3 linked regions of the Arabidopsis thaliana genome follow. The protein of the gene in region 1 binds, or shares a complex with, the protein of each later gene. Each region holds a gene or a part of one and is shown in the gene's direction. Other genes may lie near its edges.

What was found.
Region 2: DPMS3 (region 1) and DPMS2 share a complex: the UniProt entries of both Arabidopsis thaliana proteins name them as parts of the dolichol-phosphate mannose (DPM) synthase complex.
Region 3: DPMS3 (region 1) and DPMS1 share a complex: the UniProt entries of both Arabidopsis thaliana proteins name them as parts of the dolichol-phosphate mannose (DPM) synthase complex.

What each region holds. Positions count from the first base shown.
Region 1 is NC_003070.9:17,779,904-17,785,503, forward strand, and holds DPMS3 (dolichol-phosphate mannosyltransferase-like protein), read left to right. Parts: upstream 1-2,084; 5' UTR 2,085-2,255; intron 2,256-3,493; 5' UTR 3,494-3,498; coding exon 3,499-3,600; intron 3,601-3,697; coding exon 3,698-3,805; intron 3,806-3,951; coding exon 3,952-4,011; 3' UTR 4,012-4,308; downstream 4,309-5,600. Other genes in the region: PER1 (1-cysteine peroxiredoxin 1), read left to right, coding at 707-824, 913-1,061, 1,151-1,279, 1,343-1,597; AT1G48145 (plant mobile domain protein), read right to left, coding at 4,604-4,909, 4,963-5,010; AT1G48150 (MADS-box transcription factor family protein), read left to right, coding at 5,494-5,600. UniProt on the Arabidopsis thaliana protein: Regulates the biosynthesis of dolichol phosphate-mannose. Regulatory subunit of the dolichol-phosphate mannose (DPM) synthase complex; essential for the ER localization and stable expression of DPMS1.
Region 2 is NC_003070.9:27,946,819-27,953,953, reverse strand, and holds DPMS2 (dolichol phosphate-mannose biosynthesis regulatory protein-like protein), read left to right. Parts: upstream 1-2,285; 5' UTR 2,286-2,389; intron 2,390-2,540; exon of another isoform or gene 2,541-2,670; coding exon of another isoform or gene 2,671-4,932; intron 4,933-4,935; exon of another isoform or gene 4,936-5,163; intron 5,164-5,282; 5' UTR 5,283-5,299; coding exon 5,300-5,389; intron 5,390-5,513; coding exon 5,514-5,666; 3' UTR 5,667-5,909; downstream 5,910-7,135. Other genes in the region: AT1G74350 (Intron maturase, type II family protein), read left to right, coding at 2,671-4,932; AT1G74330 (Protein kinase superfamily protein), read left to right, coding at 6,845-7,135. UniProt on the Arabidopsis thaliana protein: Regulates the biosynthesis of dolichol phosphate-mannose. Regulatory subunit of the dolichol-phosphate mannose (DPM) synthase complex; essential for the ER localization and stable expression of DPMS1.
Region 3 is NC_003070.9:7,125,464-7,130,970, reverse strand, and holds DPMS1 (Nucleotide-diphospho-sugar transferases superfamily protein), read left to right. Parts: upstream 1-2,208; 5' UTR 2,209-2,293; coding exon 2,294-2,412; intron 2,413-2,837; coding exon 2,838-2,937; intron 2,938-3,031; coding exon 3,032-3,065; intron 3,066-3,146; coding exon 3,147-3,223; intron 3,224-3,299; coding exon 3,300-3,325; intron 3,326-3,415; coding exon 3,416-3,580; intron 3,581-3,667; coding exon 3,668-3,782; intron 3,783-3,879; coding exon 3,880-3,984; 3' UTR 3,985-4,224; downstream 4,225-5,507. Other genes in the region: AT1G20580 (Small nuclear ribonucleoprotein family protein), read right to left, coding at 600-662, 830-883, 980-1,046, 1,140-1,192, 1,834-1,992; AT1G20570 (Spc97 / Spc98 family of spindle pole body (SBP) component), read left to right, coding at 4,412-4,543, 4,622-4,882, 4,978-5,075, 5,174-5,345, 5,428-5,507. UniProt on the Arabidopsis thaliana protein: Transfers mannose from GDP-mannose to dolichol monophosphate to form dolichol phosphate mannose (Dol-P-Man) which is the mannosyl donor in pathways leading to N-glycosylation, glycosyl phosphatidylinositol membrane anchoring, and O-mannosylation of proteins; catalytic subunit of the dolichol-phosphate mannose (DPM) synthase complex.

The sequences.
Region 1 (5,600 bases):
GGTGATTGGAATCAGAGGACGTACCAAAGAAAAGCGTCCGTGATCAACAAAAACCAAAAAGAGACGTTTGAAATAAACCAGAGGAAGACGAAGAATAATTAAGCAAAGAGAAGCGTTAAGCGGGAGCGAGAAAGGAAACGAGAGAAAGAGAGAGCTTCCAGATCCGACAGAAGTTTTCGGCTTCTTCTTTTTCGTTTAAGAACTTCTGATCCTCCTAGGTCTGTCCGAAGAACTAATCTTTTTGAGGTAACGACGCCGTTTTTCTCAAAACATGGGCCCATTAACCATAGTCTCGGCCCAAACGAAACTTAATACGACAATGTTTGGGTGTAAACGCAAAGATTTTGTCGATTATCACAAGTAAAAAAATAAATACAAACACTTGAGTCTCTCTAGACATCGTGCGTCGCCTTAGCTTTAAGTTTTTTCTCGAAACAAAAGAGTTATTTTATTTGAACTTTGAAGATTATACGAAGACACGTGGCGTGAACCCAATTCATAACAACGCCACGCTATACTCTTTTGCATGCACCTCAATTTGAACATCATCAAGTCTCTCTCTCTCTTTTTCTGACTTTGATCCACGAACCTAACCAGCTTGCGATCTCTATTTAATCGGTCCTCGACGCAACTTCAACTTCTACTACATCCATTCACATCAAATCAATACAGAAAGTTTTTTCTATATATAAATATAAAAGGTAAAATGCCAGGGATCACACTAGGAGACACGGTGCCGAACCTAGAAGTGGAGACGACACATGACAAGTTCAAACTTCATGACTACTTCGCCAATTCTTGGACCGTCCTCTTCTCTCATCCCGGTATATATGTTAATATATAGATCTTGAGTTCTTGACTTCTGTTGCAATTCCTTTTTTGTTTTCTTGATTTTTGTTGACGGTCACACAGGGGATTTCACACCCGTGTGCACCACGGAGCTTGGTGCGATGGCCAAATACGCTCATGAGTTCGATAAGAGAGGCGTGAAGCTCCTTGGTCTGTCTTGTGACGATGTACAGTCACACAAAGACTGGATCAAAGATATTGAAGCCTTTAATGTATAATTTAAATCTCATGCATGCATATACCAGACTAGCTAGAGATCATATTTTGGTTTTGATTAATTTGTTACATATGTATGATATAGCACGGAAGCAAGGTGAATTACCCGATAATCGCTGACCCGAACAAAGAGATCATTCCTCAGCTTAACATGATTGATCCAATTGAGAACGGACCGTCTCGTGCCCTTCATATTGTTGGTCCTGACAGTAAGGTAATAATTTCATATATTATTGCATGTATGATTTTATTGGTTAATTGGATTTGTGATATATAGATAAAATTGAGCTTCTTGTATCCGTCGACCACGGGACGTAACATGGACGAAGTATTGAGGGCTTTAGACTCGTTGTTGATGGCGTCCAAGCACAATAACAAGATCGCCACTCCGGTTAACTGGAAGCCAGATCAACCGGTTGTGATTTCGCCTGCTGTGTCGGACGAGGAAGCCAAAAAGATGTTCCCACAGGGTTTCAAGACCGCCGATCTTCCGTCAAAGAAAGGCTATCTGCGTCACACAGAGGTCTCTTGAAAAGATAATAACAAAAGCCTACTATATAACGTACATGCAAGTATTGTATGATATTAATGTTTTTACGTACGTGTAAACAAAAATAATTACGTTTGTAACGTATGGTGATGATGTGGTGCACTAGGTGTAGGCCTTGTATTAATAAAAAGAAGTTTGTTCTATATAGAGTGGTTTAGTACGACGATTTATTTACTAGTCGGATTGGAATAGAGAACCGAATTCTTCAATCCTTGCTTTTGATCAAGAATTGAAACCGAATCAAATGTAAAAGTTGATATATTTGAAAAACGTATTGAGCTTATGAAAATGCTAATACTCTCATCTGTATGGAAAAGTGACTTTAAAACCGAACTTAAAAGTGACAAAAGGGGAATATCGCATCAAACCGAATGAAACCGATATGAAACCGCATCAAACCGATATAGCGTGAACCAAAATGTGGATTAATGACATTTAGACCGGAGGAACATAAGTGGGGACTATACGGCATCGTTTTAGTGTATAAGTGAATTCGCATATTCACGAGTTCCCCGTATTCACCGGTTGTTATATCGTCGATTCATCGTCGTCGACGGCGAGTACTTGTGACCTCCACACCCAGATTAATCTTCTATAACTGATTTTATCGCTTAGACGATCACGATCTCATCGATTAACTGTGAGTATAATCGATTCCTCCTCTTTATTTTGTGTGTTGTATCGATTTACGATAATTTTTTGGAGGAACATCTCCTTTCGGATCGGTTTTGTTGGGAATTTATATTTCTTTGCCATGGTTTTATCTTGATTTGGTGATTTACCTTGTGTTTGTTCTGGTGTACTATTTAGCTAATTTAGTATAAGCTTTCAGATGATTCTAGGAAACTTTTGTGCTACTGTTTTCGGTTTTTGGTGATAGAACTATGTAGTTTTAAGGAACCATATAAAAATTTCGTCTAGAAATGTTTCTATGGTTACTGATCAGTCATCAGTGGTAGCGATATGAAATTGGAATCCTGTTTTTTGTTACACGGTTCGATTCAGATGCTTTCGATTCAAATCCTGTTTAAGCAGCTCAGGTTCTTTAGAATTCTTGTTTTTTAAATGCTTCTTGCCTGAATGTAAGGGATTTTTTTTGCTATTGCTTTGGTTCCTGTGATTGTTTTTCTTACCTCCTCTGATGTTACATGATCAGCATTTGTGAATTTGGATTCTTGGAAGCTAACACAATTCTTAGGATTAAGTTTCGTATGGTCTGAGACTTTGAGTTCTTGACGTTTGGTCTGAGGAACTGTTGGAACTCATTGATTTTGTATCGGTTCTGTAGCTTCAGTTCGGACTTGATCATCTCAGGAATTGGAAATTGTTTTTTTTTGATGTTACAATATTTCGGAGTCAGATAATTTTCAATTTCTTATTTTGTTTATCCCAGTCAGAGGTCATTGTCGAAAAAGTACGGATTGATCTGGATATAGCATGATGGTTTGAGTTGTATAAACTGGGTTACTGAGCTGTTCAGATTGTGCTAGATTCTAGTTTTACTTTGATGTTTGGAAATTATGTGCGCGTCTTTGTGTTAGTGAACATTACACACTGAAACATGAAAATCCATTTGCTTTGTTGAGACTCCATCTAGTTACAACTGATAGCTATTATTGGTATATTTCTTATGGTTTGAGCTTGTGATCAATTTTGGTGGGGTAAATGGGATGTTAATATTGCTCTTGAGGAATATATGTGTTGATCATGACAACTACGAAATTGTGAATAGTTCATTGATTTACTAGATTTTGTTTATTAGGCTCGCTGAGTGATTTCTTTTACATGCTCTACAACTTCTTGGAGAATGCTGTGATCGTCTATGCATTTCTATTCGCAGCTAACTTAAACTCTTTTACATAATTTTTTACTTTAAAGGACAAATGAAGCATATAGTAAAGATCTTGAGCCTGTTGGTGGCTATCTCTGCCTTCTGGATTGGTCTTTTGCAGGCTGCAATTATTCCTCGAAGCCATACATGGTTGGTGAGTAACAAACAATTTTGTCCTCTTTTTTGGTTTCTTGCTTTTTTGAAATTAGGATTCTGTTCTGATTTGGTATTATTGCCGGTCTGTCTTACAGCTACCGATCTACTTTGTTGTATCCCTCGGATGCTATGGCCTATTAATGGTTGGAGTCGGGCTCATGCAGTTTCCTACTTGCCCCCAAGAAGCAGTTCTGCTGCAGAAGGTACTTTTGAGACTAGCTCTTTGTTTGCCATAGTCGGCCTTGTTCTTATTTTTCATCCTGCTCTATACGGATTCGTGTTATCTAATGTTGACATCCTTCAATATTTTTGCTAATTTAGTGTCTTTTATCTGTTTCTTTGGTTGCAGGATATTGCAGAGGCTAAGGACTTCTTCAAGCACAAAGGGGTAGATGTTGGATCGAATTGACACAAAGGCTTTTATCAGACCATTCATCAGAGATATTTTTCGTTATTGACAAAAGACTTAACTGTACTGTTTGGAATTTTTGAATTTAACAGTGTCACTGAGGTAAAACGCAAAAGCTTCGTATGCATCCAAAAGTAATCGCAAAAGTATAACAAATATTCCAAATTGCAGAAACTTATTAGTAACAATAGAAGCATTTACATTTTCTTGTGGTGAATTACCATAAAGCTTTGGCCTTTGTGTCTAGTAAGTTCTCCAGGTATGCAAAAGAGATCGCATCAACAGATTGAATCAGGCTATCCTCTGTACGAAAACTCTGATATGCAACACACCAAGAAGGTATTAAGTCGCTCATAACTGAGTAGGTTTCAAAAGATACAAATGAAACATTTGGAACCAAACCAGTTTTTAAAAGATACTAAGCAGGAAAATCAAAAGACACTGAACCAAAAAGATCATAAAGATATGACTTTGATATTCAACTTGCATTTGCCTTCTCCTTTCTTTATCTGTCCACAACAACACCTAATTCAAACCAGCTGCTTTTCTGTGTGTTTATGGCTCTCCTTTCGTTCAACCATGCCACAGTTCTTTATGCCTTAAGAATACGCTCCTCTATCGACAATGCTAGCACATTCAGCTCTTGAAATCTCTTATCAGTCTTGTCATTGTTATCAACATCACCTTCACCAAAATCATTGTTTCCCTTTTCAGAGTACTGCTCATTGGATTTCATAGTTTCTTCACTTCTGATGCTATCATCATGAAGCAAACAACAATCCTGTCCCTCATTTCCATCCCCTACAGCGATGTGAATGTTTGACTCATCAGATGACTTCAGAACCTTATGCTTATATGCTTTTCTTGTTTCATCTCCATTCGTGCATCCAGAAGCAAACTTTTTATGAGGGCTAGATTTTTTTTGTTGTTGTCTGCCTTTAATGCTAGCACCTTCTCATGCATTGATCCTTCCATCAGCATCTTCCTTCTCTGCTTCATTACATCAAACACTTTGGTTCGAGCTTGAGCTCTCCTCTGCTGACCCTTCAACAACTTTGTTGGAGCTTTTTTTTTGTGTTTGATCTTTTCTTCTTACTGTTTATGGTTGTTTGTCTGATATTGTTGTTGTTGTTTTGGTTAAGGAGGATGTGGGTGCTTGTGTTGTATTACTCTCCAAGTACGATCCTGTTTTTCTTCTTCTTTTCTCTTCTCTCATGCATAATCTGATTCTGAATTTATAGTGTTTGTGTTGATATTTGATGATAACAGTTGTGATTAGATGCAATAATCTTGATGATCTTAATGAAAATGTTTGTTTGGTAAAAATTAAAAAAATTAAGTTTGACCGAGTCACATGATAATACCGACATTAGTATTATCTAATCTCTATATATTTGTGCTTTGCCTCTACTCTCTTTTCACTCTCTCTTTTTCTCTCGATTCCATTATCTCTCTCTGTAAGACACAAAACAAACCCTAATAATGCAGTCGTCGAACGTAACTGATTGCACAATGAGGAAAAGAGGAACAAAAAGAAAGATTGAAATTGAGAAACGCATGACTAAACAACAACGATCCGTCGCTTGCAG
Region 2 (7,135 bases), about 10 Mb from region 1:
GGAAAAATACCGCATTTGTTGAATATTTCAAAAATTGAACTTTGAAGTCGTTTAGAACAAAAACAAAATTGATGTTTTATCGACTAGATGAGTCTCATATGACTAAAACTAAACCATAACTCATTTTAGTTCTCCTTAGAAAAAGTAAACAATTACAAATATTGTTTTTGATTCACCATTAGCTTTTCTTTTAATTTGTACGGTACCACTTGCGCACTCAAGAACTTATCCTAGTGGGTAACATTTAATAAATTTTGACAGTTTGAACTTATATATATTGAAGTATGTGTGAGTTTAGAAATTTTAATCGTGTGATTTGGTTAAAAAAACCATAAAATTAGATTACTTTATTTAAGTTAACTCGCGAGGGCAACAATTAGGTGAGCAGTTGTGACATCTAAGTTGACCGGTCCAGAGTAGTTTGACTTCGTGTCAGAGTTGGTAAGTTTATGATAATAGATAAAACTTTTGCATAATGTAAATCTAAAAATTACGTTACATACAATATATGGTGAATGTGACTTATGTAGCATTAAAAGATATATTTGCTTCTCCAGAGATTTAAAAGTGTTATTTAACTAAGTTTTAGACGACTAAAGAGAAGAAATTGGCATCATTTTGAAATGTTCAAAAAATTAAAGATATTTTACTAAAAAGAGGTTAACAAAATATACATGTATATGGTGGGGTCCAATGTGATTCATATGGACGGCACTAGTTGACTTACTTCGTGCTTTGACCAATGTTTTTTTTTTAAATCATTGTTAATCATTAAATCTCATCTTATTCGTTTCTTTTGTTTGTTATTTATTTTCCCGTTATAAATATTTTTCTCTTACCTTTTTTTTTTCTTCGTGATAAGAGTCAAATGCGTGTATTATTTTACCTTGATTAGTCTAAGTATTCAATTAATTTTGAATTGAATAGTATAACACTTCGTGATAGACCATTGATATTTTTTTGAATTAGAAAATTCAGAGGCTACTATTCTCTTCCATAAAGAGAACAATATAAAAAAGGAATTATAGTTAATTGCTAAAATGATATTTTGTGTCATTAGAAACAAAATCTGCAAAAAGTAGTATTACTCAGAAACAAATCAAACTTTCAAAGTTGTTGATAGATGATATGCAACAAGATTTAGGATAATCATCTAATATTTTTTATCTTAAAAATAGTCTACTTATATGTTTATCAACTACAGTCATATTTCTATAACTTCAATTTTATTACTTTAAAGATACAGTAGTAGCTTCAAGCTTCAACTAATCATAGTAGGAAGTTGAATCACTCTCTTCTGCCACATATGTTTCAAGCATCCATGTTGTGTCTTCTGACACTAGAATGCATAATGATCAAAATTCTAAAAAAATCAAAGTGGTACCAATTTTAAAGTTATTAACTTCCACCAGTTGAAAAGAAAAAACTAAAGGAAACCTCCGATAAAAAAACAATGGTCCATTCAACAACACTAAGGACGTGTGAATGGTATTGAGCCAACATTGTTCATGCCAAAACAACTAAGGCAAACAACTAAGGCGACCAAACAAAAGAAAATTTTGCTATGAAATTTAAAAGTCCATGCCACTTGAAAGCCACGTCGTTTGTGCGTTTTGGTTTTTCTCTGCGTACCCATTTGTTGTTTTGATGTTTCCATTGGTCAAATTCAACATTATCACCTAAAATAACTTGCACATGCACGACACCAAATTAAATAGCTTTGGATCCAATAAGAGAAAGTATATATTGTAGGTACTAATATATCCACTCGCTCTAATCCGACCCAAACCCGAGTTCTTGAACCTTGAAACCTTTTAAACAATTAGAGGTTTAGGGGGTACGTAAACTTAAAACGTAGCTCAATATTAGATATTATTGTATTCGTGGGGGAATGAATATAAGCAAAGCATGAAGCAACGCATTTTACATATAAGAAAGTGTCAATTGATAGGAAACTGATAAACAATTGAACAAGTAGATGATGTCGGTCCACCGCGTAGGAAGAGCTGATCACTCATGTTTCTATCTTAATTATCAAACTGAATTAACGAATTTATTAATTTAATCATTTATCATTTAATGATATTTTTGTCTATATTTTTTCTTGCGCTTTCATGGTAAATGAAACTGCCTCATTGTTGCGTACTAAATTACCTGTAAGTCTGTTATAAAAAAAATGTTTAAAACATAAATATTCTACAACTAAAGGTGTCAAAATGTAATTTATAGAAGTAAGCAATAGTTTATGTTATTTCATAAATAGTCCCTCCTTCCTTCCTATTCTCAAGTCACGAGTTCTTCTTCTCAATCTCGAGTAATTCACTGTGCAAAGCAAGAGCTTCTTCGATTTCTATCTCTCAGACCAATCGTGCTTTTCGCATCCCTGAACGTAAGTTTCCTTCCATTTCTGTGTTGATTTAAGCAAAGAGATTGATAAAAACCTGATTCGTCCCGTTTCATTGTAGAAACTTTGTACTGGCTTAGTCGGGATATAATCGCATAGGTTTTAGAATTAGGAATCGGAATTTTAACTTGATGTTTAGGAAACGGAACCTAGTTTTAGATTTGTTGCGCCGATGTTACATAGAAACCCTAATCCCACGGGGCTTATGGAGTCGCACAATCTCCACGTTTCCCAAATCGGCTCTGCTTGCAACAGATAATGCAGAAATGGCTAGTAAGGAAACTGGAATGTTTTCACTAGCTGGGGAATTAGCTTCTCTTGTAGAAGAATCTTCTTCTCATGTTGATGATGATAGCAAACCTAGAAGTCGTATGGAACTAAAACGATCTCTTGAACTCCGGTTGAAGAAAAGAGTCAAAGAGCAGTGCATCAATGGGAAGTTTAGTGATCTGTTGAAGAAGGTGATTGCAAGGCCTGAAACTCTCCGGGATGCTTATGATTGTATTAGGCTTAACTCCAATGTTTCTATAACAGAAAGAAATGGTAGTGTCGCGTTTGATTCTATTGCAGAAGAGCTCTCTAGTGGGGTGTTTGATGTTGCTTCAAATACGTTTTCGATTGTGGCTAGAGATAAAACAAAAGAGGTCCTTGTCTTGCCTAGTGTAGCTCTTAAAGTTGTCCAAGAGGCTATCAGAATAGTTCTTGAAGTTGTTTTCAGTCCTCATTTTTCTAAGATTTCACATAGTTGTCGAAGCGGAAGGGGACGTGCCTCTGCATTGAAGTACATCAACAACAATATTTCTCGTTCGGATTGGTGTTTCACTTTGAGCCTGAACAAAAAACTTGATGTTTCTGTTTTCGAGAACTTGCTCTCTGTAATGGAGGAAAAAGTAGAAGACAGCAGTTTAAGCATCTTACTCCGTTCTATGTTTGAAGCCCGGGTGCTCAATCTCGAGTTCGGAGGATTTCCCAAGGGCCATGGTCTTCCACAAGAAGGGGTGTTGTCCCGTGTATTAATGAACATATATCTTGATCGGTTTGATCATGAATTTTATAGAATCTCAATGAGGCATGAAGCCCTTGGTCTTGATTCAAAGACTGATGAAGATAGCCCAGGCTCAAAACTTCGTTCCTGGTTTAGGAGGCAAGCCGGAGAACAAGGTTTGAAAAGTACTACAGAGCAGGACGTTGCACTCAGAGTTTATTGCTGCAGATTTATGGATGAGATATATTTCTCTGTGTCTGGTCCCAAGAAAGTTGCAAGTGATATCAGATCTGAAGCTATAGGTTTCTTACGGAACTCACTGCATTTGGACATCACAGATGAGACAGACCCGTCACCATGTGAAGCGACCAGTGGGCTTCGTGTTTTGGGTACCTTGGTTAGGAAAAATGTTAGGGAGAGTCCCACTGTCAAAGCTGTTCACAAGTTAAAGGAGAAGGTTAGGCTCTTTGCATTGCAGAAAGAAGAGGCTTGGACCTTAGGTACAGTTAGAATTGGAAAGAAATGGTTAGGACATGGATTGAAGAAAGTCAAAGAGTCAGAAATCAAAGGTTTGGCGGATAGTAACTCTACCTTGAGTCAAATATCTTGCCACAGAAAGGCAGGCATGGAAACAGATCATTGGTATAAGATCTTGCTTAGAATATGGATGGAGGACGTGCTAAGAACCTCTGCAGATAGAAGCGAGGAGTTTGTCTTGTCCAAGCATGTTGTAGAACCTACTGTTCCTCAAGAACTAAGAGATGCGTTTTACAAGTTCCAAAACGCTGCTGCGGCATATGTTTCATCAGAGACGGCTAATCTGGAAGCGCTTTTGCCATGTCCACAATCTCATGATAGACCTGTTTTCTTTGGTGATGTTGTCGCTCCGACTAATGCTATAGGAAGGCGTCTTTATCGCTACGGATTAATAACAGCCAAGGGTTATGCTCGTTCAAATTCTATGCTTATTTTGCTAGATACTGCCCAAATAATTGATTGGTATTCAGGACTTGTTCGGCGATGGGTGATTTGGTATGAAGGCTGTAGTAATTTTGATGAGATAAAGGCTCTTATTGATAATCAGATCAGAATGTCATGCATCCGTACTTTGGCAGCAAAATATCGAATACATGAAAATGAAATAGAGAAACGCCTTGATTTGGAACTGAGCACTATTCCCTCTGCTGAAGATATAGAACAGGAAATACAACATGAGAAACTAGATTCTCCTGCTTTTGACAGGGATGAACATCTAACATACGGCCTTTCCAATAGTGGTTTGTGTTTATTGTCTTTAGCTCGATTAGTGAGCGAATCAAGGCCTTGCAATTGCTTCGTAATTGGTTGTTCGATGGCTGCACCTGCTGTTTATACTTTACATGCAATGGAGAGACAGAAGTTTCCAGGTTGGAAAACTGGATTTTCTGTTTGTATTCCTTCTAGCTTAAATGGAAGGAGAATAGGGCTGTGTAAGCAACACCTCAAAGATCTGTATATAGGTCAAATATCACTTCAAGCTGTTGATTTTGGAGCCTGGAGATGATTACTACTCTCCACGACAAGAGTCTTGCAAGTGTTTGATTCTTCCTAGGTCAACTCTGATTCGTTTTAGGCAGTTGTTGAGCTTTGTGTATCTGATGTCTAGCAAATCATATGTCCGGTGATTATCGTTCTTCAAATGTTTTAATTTCTAGAGGCCTTGTGCAGTAGCACAGTTTGCATACCCTCAGAACATAAAACCATGGCATTAGCTGGTCTAATGGGAAAAGTCTAGGTGAAATGGTCTCATTGACATTCACAATATAACTTCCTTCACTTTTGACTGTATCTTCCAATGCTTAGCTTCTTGAATTTTTCTGATTTTTTTCTCACAATTGATTTGCGGTGCTGCAGGTTTTGAACTTGACAAAATGGAATTAGCGGATCGAGCAGTCGGGCTTCTACTATCTTCAATCAGCTTGTCCATATTCACGTACTATACTTTTTGGGTCATCATCCTGGTAAGTGACAACATCTCCCCCAAGTTCCTTAAAAAGACATTGTCAGTTTGATGTACCAATGTCATCTAATGTTTAGGATATTACTAGGAAAAAGCTGACATAATAGAATTTTCGTTTTGTACAGCCATTTGTAGATAGTGATCACTTCATCCACAAGTACTTCTTACCCCAAGACTATGCCATTCTCGTACCTGTCTTTGCCGGCATAGCTCTTCTCTCTCTCATTTCCGTATTCATCGGCATGGTCATGCTCAAATCCAAAAAGAAGAAGGCTTAATTTCATTCAACTCTTGCCGTAAGACAAAGTTCTGTCCTTGTTTCTTAAGTTGTCCCTACATTGTTTTGGTCTTTCAGAGGTTTAGTCCGGAAACTTTAAATGGGTGTCGTTGAACCGTACGAGACTATATCTTATTGACTCTAAATACATACACATGTTAAGCTCAAATAAATTCTTGAGAGAATATATACTAATGATGATGGATTTTAGGCTCCCTGACAATTCAACTAAAAAACTATTTACAGAATATACGAATGATTTAGATGAATGATGCATTTCACGAATATATATATTTGTTTCTTATTTTGTCTTTTGTGTATTCTCCATATGGCAGTTACTGATCTATTTTCTTTTCTGGTTTCGTCTTTTTTAGAGAGAAAAATAAATAAAATTGACTGATAGGAATTCAGTTTGTTAGCAATATAAGCACCTTAAATCATAATTAGTGCTTTTGAAAGTTGAGAAACAGATATATTATGAAAAATATCAGTAGTAGTAGTCATCATAGGCTAAGAGCTGGCAAAGCATTAGAGACACAAGTGAGTTTTCTCTTTGCAATTATTCTATGTCTGTAATGAATTTTGGTTTTGACTTATCTTATGAAATTTAATCATAGTTTTAGCTTTTTCTAATCTCATTAGCACTACTTAGTGCTTATGGATAAATCATTTCAAGTCATCTTCGTACAATTAATAAAATCAATAGCCCATTCACTTGTACTGTACTAGAGACCAAAACTTAATACATACAACCAAAAATCAATTTCCTTTTTTATTTTATTTTCCAACACGCTTTGAATTCTGTTCTACCACATTTGTATAGTCAATTCTTTATTTCAACAAAAAAGCTGTCATTAACTATTTGCTAAAATAGGTTTCAAAATTTTGGAAGGTGTAGATTCGTTTTTTTGGACCAGACTAATAAATGCATGTTTTCTTTTTGAAGTAATGTACCGTCTTCTTCTGATAAAAAAGTGAAGAGCCTAAAACATTCTCTTCTGAACCTTCATTATAAAAATATATACGAAACCTCTCAAGTTTTCAGGAGATTCACTTTGGTTCCGGATCCGAATTACGGCGACGGATCTTATCGTGACGGCGCCGGAATATACGGATACGAAATCAGCTAGTCACTTGTGGTGGTTGTGAAGTTACGAACTAATCGGAATTCTGTTAAAAATGGGTTGCGTTAGCTCGAAGCAGACGGTCTCTGTGACGCCTGCGATCGATCACTCAGGCGTCTTCAAGGATAATGAAAATGAGTGTTCTGGATCGGGTCGGATTGTGGTGGAGGATCCGCCTCGGCCGACGTTGAAGAAGCTCGTGTCGTGGAGGAGTAGGAGCGGGAAGAGGAGGAGTCAGAAGAGCGGTAGCGAGTTAGGGAGTGAGTCAGGACGTGCTAGTGACTCGCTTAGTTTTCGACTCGGTAATGTTAGTAGATACCTTGAAGCTGAGCAAGTCGCTGCTGGT
Region 3 (5,507 bases), about 11 Mb from region 1:
CTACTAATTTCATGTATAATCGTTGTAAAATACTCAGGAAACTCTATGACCCATTTTGGTTAATATTACTCAGGAACCGAACCTCTACACTCCATCAAATATTCTTCTACAAGTCGTTTTGGTGTTTGCTGGTACTCTGGAACTAAACTTTTATAGACTAAATATTGTACAAGTCATTTTGGAAATTTTTTGGATAATTTGGGAAAATAGCAGTAGACAAGGTTTTACATGTTGAAAATACAAGTACAATATTATTTTCTAGCTTATATTATTAATGTTATAAATGACCAACTTTGTTTTCTGATCTTAGTCTTATTAAGACCTTTATGAAAACAATGTACTTTGTTTTACTCATCTACTGTCAGAAATGGAGAATGCGCAAAGAAGAAAATAGATCACAACGAAAACTTGTCAATGATTCAAACATCTTGGTAACCCAAAATACAGAACTAGTAGTGCATCTGGATATCTCTCTCTCTTGTTTGGTTTTACAGTGTTCTCTAAAGCATTAATGACAGAACCAAGAAAGGCGGCTTTCACCTGGATATCACAGAAAGACTATCCCAGAATCAAAGCTTACATGTTGAGCGTAAAATCAATCATCTCCTCACAGGTGGTACCGCTCCCCTTCCTCCAGTTCCACGCCCGGGCCCGGCAGCCGGCTTTAAGATAATATCACAAAGATTCAAGAATCTAACCATTAGTAGTGACAAAGAAGAAACAAACCATTAAGGGATAACAAGGATTTGAACATCTTAACAAGTTCCATAAAACTTCCTAACATTGCATTCATGAGCACTAAATCATAAGAGAGAGAGGGTGAACTTACTTTCCCTCGCATTGCACCTCTACCTCTGCCAACACCCAGTGATGAGCTCTTTCCCTACATTGATTAAGCAAGTAAGGTAAGATGTTTGTTGGAGATATGTATAGAGATCCTAATATCATTCTGCATCCAGGGTTCAAAAAGCATATATACCTTGATTCTAGCATCTAACCGCTTGAACATTGGAGCATGTTTGAGAATGTCTGGTATGACCATAAACCTGTCAAGATATATCCGCAGGTCAATTACTAAACAGCTAGGGTTAACAAGAATGATCCCATGAATTACATAAACAAGGAAACAAGTACAGCACCTGACTTTACTGCCTCGAATGAAGACATGCTCAAGCTGTGATACCTTACCATCCTGTAACACAGCATTGGAAAACCCAAAACAAAAGTTCAGTGACAATTAACAAACAAACCCATTAAGTTGACAGATTATTTATGTATACTATGAAGAATAACACTTAAAGAGTTAAGACTTTCTGAATTGAGAACTACATGTAGTTCTTTTCCCAATAATTACAGGTTGACTCAAAACCCATACGGCACAATAATCCGCAAATAAGAGGACGCTTTAAGACCTGCATACTTCAGATAATTCACATTTGACCACTGTATTCCTAAAGAGCAACTTAGGCTTTGGATAAAACGTTACAAAGCACAAACGTAGAACCTTTCTTCTCAGTTATTGATGTGTCCTATAGATCAATAATAAGTTTAACCAATCAGAGGAGACTATACCCTACAGTCAAAATTTATCTAATGTCACTGGCAGGATCACGCATTCTAGGGTTTTATACAGCATGAATTTCAAGGATTCTTAATCTCACTTAGAACTTAAAATAAGAAGCAATCTAAAATTTCCCAGCAAATTTGCCCAGCTCACCAAATCTAGGGTTTTAACAGCACTAACATCAAACAATGAAATTGAAACGAAACCTATGGTTCAAAAAACAGTCTCATATAAAATGAATCGAGATCTTCAGAGTATCAGTTGATTACCTTGGCGGTATAAGTAATATCCTCGAGCTGACAGTTCCAGTTATCCTCACACTCAATCATACTTCCTCTGTAAAGCTCGCCGCTCTTTAGCTCCACCGTCACGATATGACCTGAGGCCTCGTGAAGAAGCTTCACCGGTATTCCCAAACTTCGGCTCATCTTTCTCTCTACAAAACCCTAATTGAAAACCTTCTCCTTTAACTCTGCAACCTAGAAAGAAAAAAATGGCGGAAGGAAAGAAGAGCGACTCAGATGCGATTGACGAGTTTACCTCTTTTAAAGCTTTCCTGATTTATTTTTGGGCTTTATATAGGCCCATATTTATATTAGGCCCAATTTGAGAAACTTGCTTTTTAGTCCCTATATTTGACATTATTTTAATCCTTATTTTTGTACAGACGACGGCTGATTTCACGGGTTAAGACGAAGGAACCACCGTTACCAAAACTCGCCGGAAGAGATGGCGGACGAGATGGAGACCAAAGGAGAGAAGAAGTACAAGTATAGCATAATCATTCCTACCTACAACGAGCGCCTCAACATCGCTATCATAGTCTACCTGATTTTCAAGCATCTCCGGTAAATGAATATTTATTTCTTTTGGTCTTTTCACGTTCATTCTTTCATTTCAGAATCGGAATTACGTTTTTTGTTATTCTTTTACTGAATACTCGAACCTGATCGCCAATTTCAAGTTACGGATCTCGGAAATTTTCCGATCATGTTTCTGTAGATTGCAGATCCTAATTCGTGATTTGTTGTTTCTGTGCATGAGCTAGTAAAGGCCAATGTAGTGATCCCTCAAACTATATAGTAGTAGTTTCATGGTGTTTTAAAAACTTTGATTTAGTGATCGGAGAATAGTCAGAAGCTACATGTGCTAATCTTAGATCGATTCTGGTTATGGCTGCTTATATGAAATTAATATAGAATTGCACTTGTTAAGTAGACTCTTTGTTAACTGTTACTGAGAATTTGCTTCGCTACTTGTTTGTATGATTTAGGGACGTTGATTTTGAGATAATTGTTGTGGATGATGGGAGTCCTGATGGCACACAGGAAATTGTCAAGCAACTGCAGCAATTGTATGGTGAAGACCGTATCGTGAGTACAATGATGTGTTAAGACCTTAATTTGTAAATTATTGGGCGTTCTTCTGTTTAGGTGAAATCATGTTTTTATCTTTTTTATGATGCAGCTTTTAAGAGCTAGAGCCAAGAAGCTTGGTTTGGGTATGTAATTTGTATCTTCATTGTCTTCTAGTTTTGGTTAACAAGAAATGAAATTAATTTTCTTGGCATGGTCAATCTCAGGAACTGCATATATTCATGGTTTGAAGCATGCTACGGGTGATTTCGTCGTGATCATGGATGCTGATCTTTCACATCATGTAAGAGCCATTAATTTAGTTTTCTTGTTTACCTGTTTAATTGTTTAGCTAACCCAGTCACTTTTCTTCTGTGCAGCCAAAATACTTACCAAGTTTCATCAAGTAAGAAAAAGAAGAGTCTCTTGATCTCTTACTAGTTTCACAACCTATAGTGACTTCAACTGATTTGTTTTTTTTCTTATTATCATAAAGGAAACAACTAGAGACAAATGCAAGTATAGTAACTGGTACACGATATGTAAAAGGTGGTGGTGTACACGGGTGGAATCTTATGCGGAAACTCACTAGTAGAGGAGCAAATGTGCTAGCTCAAACACTTTTATGGCCTGGTGTATCTGATTTAACAGGATCATTCCGGTATAATTCAAATAACATATGCGCATATTTTTAACTGACATCATTTGATAGTATCATGTCTGACCTCCGCACCTCTTTGTTTGGAAGGCTATACAAGAAATCGGCGCTTGAAGACGTGATTAGCTCATGTGTGAGTAAAGGGTATGTCTTTCAGATGGAAATGATTGTTCGTGCAACCAGAAAAGGATACCATATTGAAGAGGTCTCTCTTTTTATACCAATTCACTGTGATTTTGATTCTTTCTAAACTATATTTCCATTCATATTCTTGATTCTCTGGTGCTCATCTTCATCTGCAGGTACCGATCACTTTTGTTGACAGAGTCTTTGGAACTTCGAAACTCGGAGGATCTGAAATAGTGGAATATCTAAAAGGCCTCGTCTATCTCCTGCTTACAACTTAAGACACACCAAGCAACTCAACAACACACGAGTCTCTCTTTATACTCTTCATTTGTTCCATTGCTTCATAGATTTCTCTTAACAGTTGAACTCTGATCATGTCGTTTAGAAACTTCACTTACTTTGACTTCAGAGAGTCGCATCTTTTAAGACTCAAAAGTTCATATTATAGACATTGTTGATTTTGAATGTTGAGTTGAGATATCTTACATTTCATAAATACCTTAACCAACCAACCAAAGAAGGTTTTATGTTTTAGATCGTTCGTAATGTGATAATCTTTGTCACTGCGACGGGCCTTTATAATTTGGGCCCATTTGAGACCTTTCTTCACTTGCTCTCACTCACTCTCTCTCAAATTCACCCACATCAAAGCTTCTCCGATTTCCCTCCGAACCAATTTGGTATGTGAAAATCAAATTCACAGTGATGTCTGAGTCGTTGCTTCGTATTGATCACGCCGGCTTAGACACCCTAATTCCGGGAATGATGTGCAGTCACAGAGTTTGGACACACTCAGAACTAGCTCCTCCTTCAGTGAGCGTGAATGAATCCCATCTGGTAATGCCACAAACACTACTCTTTTCAAATTCTTTTCGGCAAAGCAACTTAAACCCTTTTTCTCCGGAGGTTAATTAGGTGAAAGGTCTCTTACAAGCTTTGCAAGGTTTCTCTAGTCCCTTCATTTTCTGGGACCGAAAGGAACAAACTTTCCGCGCTAAAAGTGAGATACGAGTTTCTCATTTGTCTCAGTCAAGCCTTCATGTCCTTCTCGCTGGATTTTTGTATGCTGCTACATGTTTGAAGCTTGTGGAGTCTATTGTTAGTGGAATTAATGCCTCTCTTAAATCTCCTCCTACTTTAATGGCATTTTCGAACTCTGCCTCTGGTTGGCTTGAGGCAAGTAGTCCACAACTCCCTATTAGTTTTTTTATTTATTTATTTGGCTTGTTCTTGAATATTTGAGACTGATGTACAATTGGGTATTGGAACAGAGACTTAGAGATATTGCTTTGAATGAGGAAGTGAAGATCAACGATTCTAATGTTGCTGTTACTCCAACTCTTTTGGGATTAACTAGTTCTTTATCTAGGTGTGTAGCCTAGATCATTTTCATATATTGAATGCTGTTTCTCGGTTCAAGAACTATATTTAATAGCAGTCTTCAGTTTTTTTCTTTCTATTTGCTAGTCTGTGTTCAGATGCTGAATACCTTTTCCAAGTTGTACGAGGTGCGATCCCTCATGCGTATTTTGAGTCGAGTTCGGCTATTTCAACAGCTGAAATTGCTGTGCACGTTCTTGATTACCTTTACAAGAGGCTAGATGAAGTATGTCTTGTACAAGGTGGTGAGCTTGTGGCCGTTTTTTTGTGTTCTTTTTTTTTTTTTTTTCCTTTGTTGTTGCTCACTTCTCTAATTGGATTATTGAAAATATTTGGACCAGGTGGAAGGATTTCACATGTTATTGCAAATCTTTGCTGGAAGTTTATTGCCATATGTAGAGAGTTTGGATTCATGGTTGTT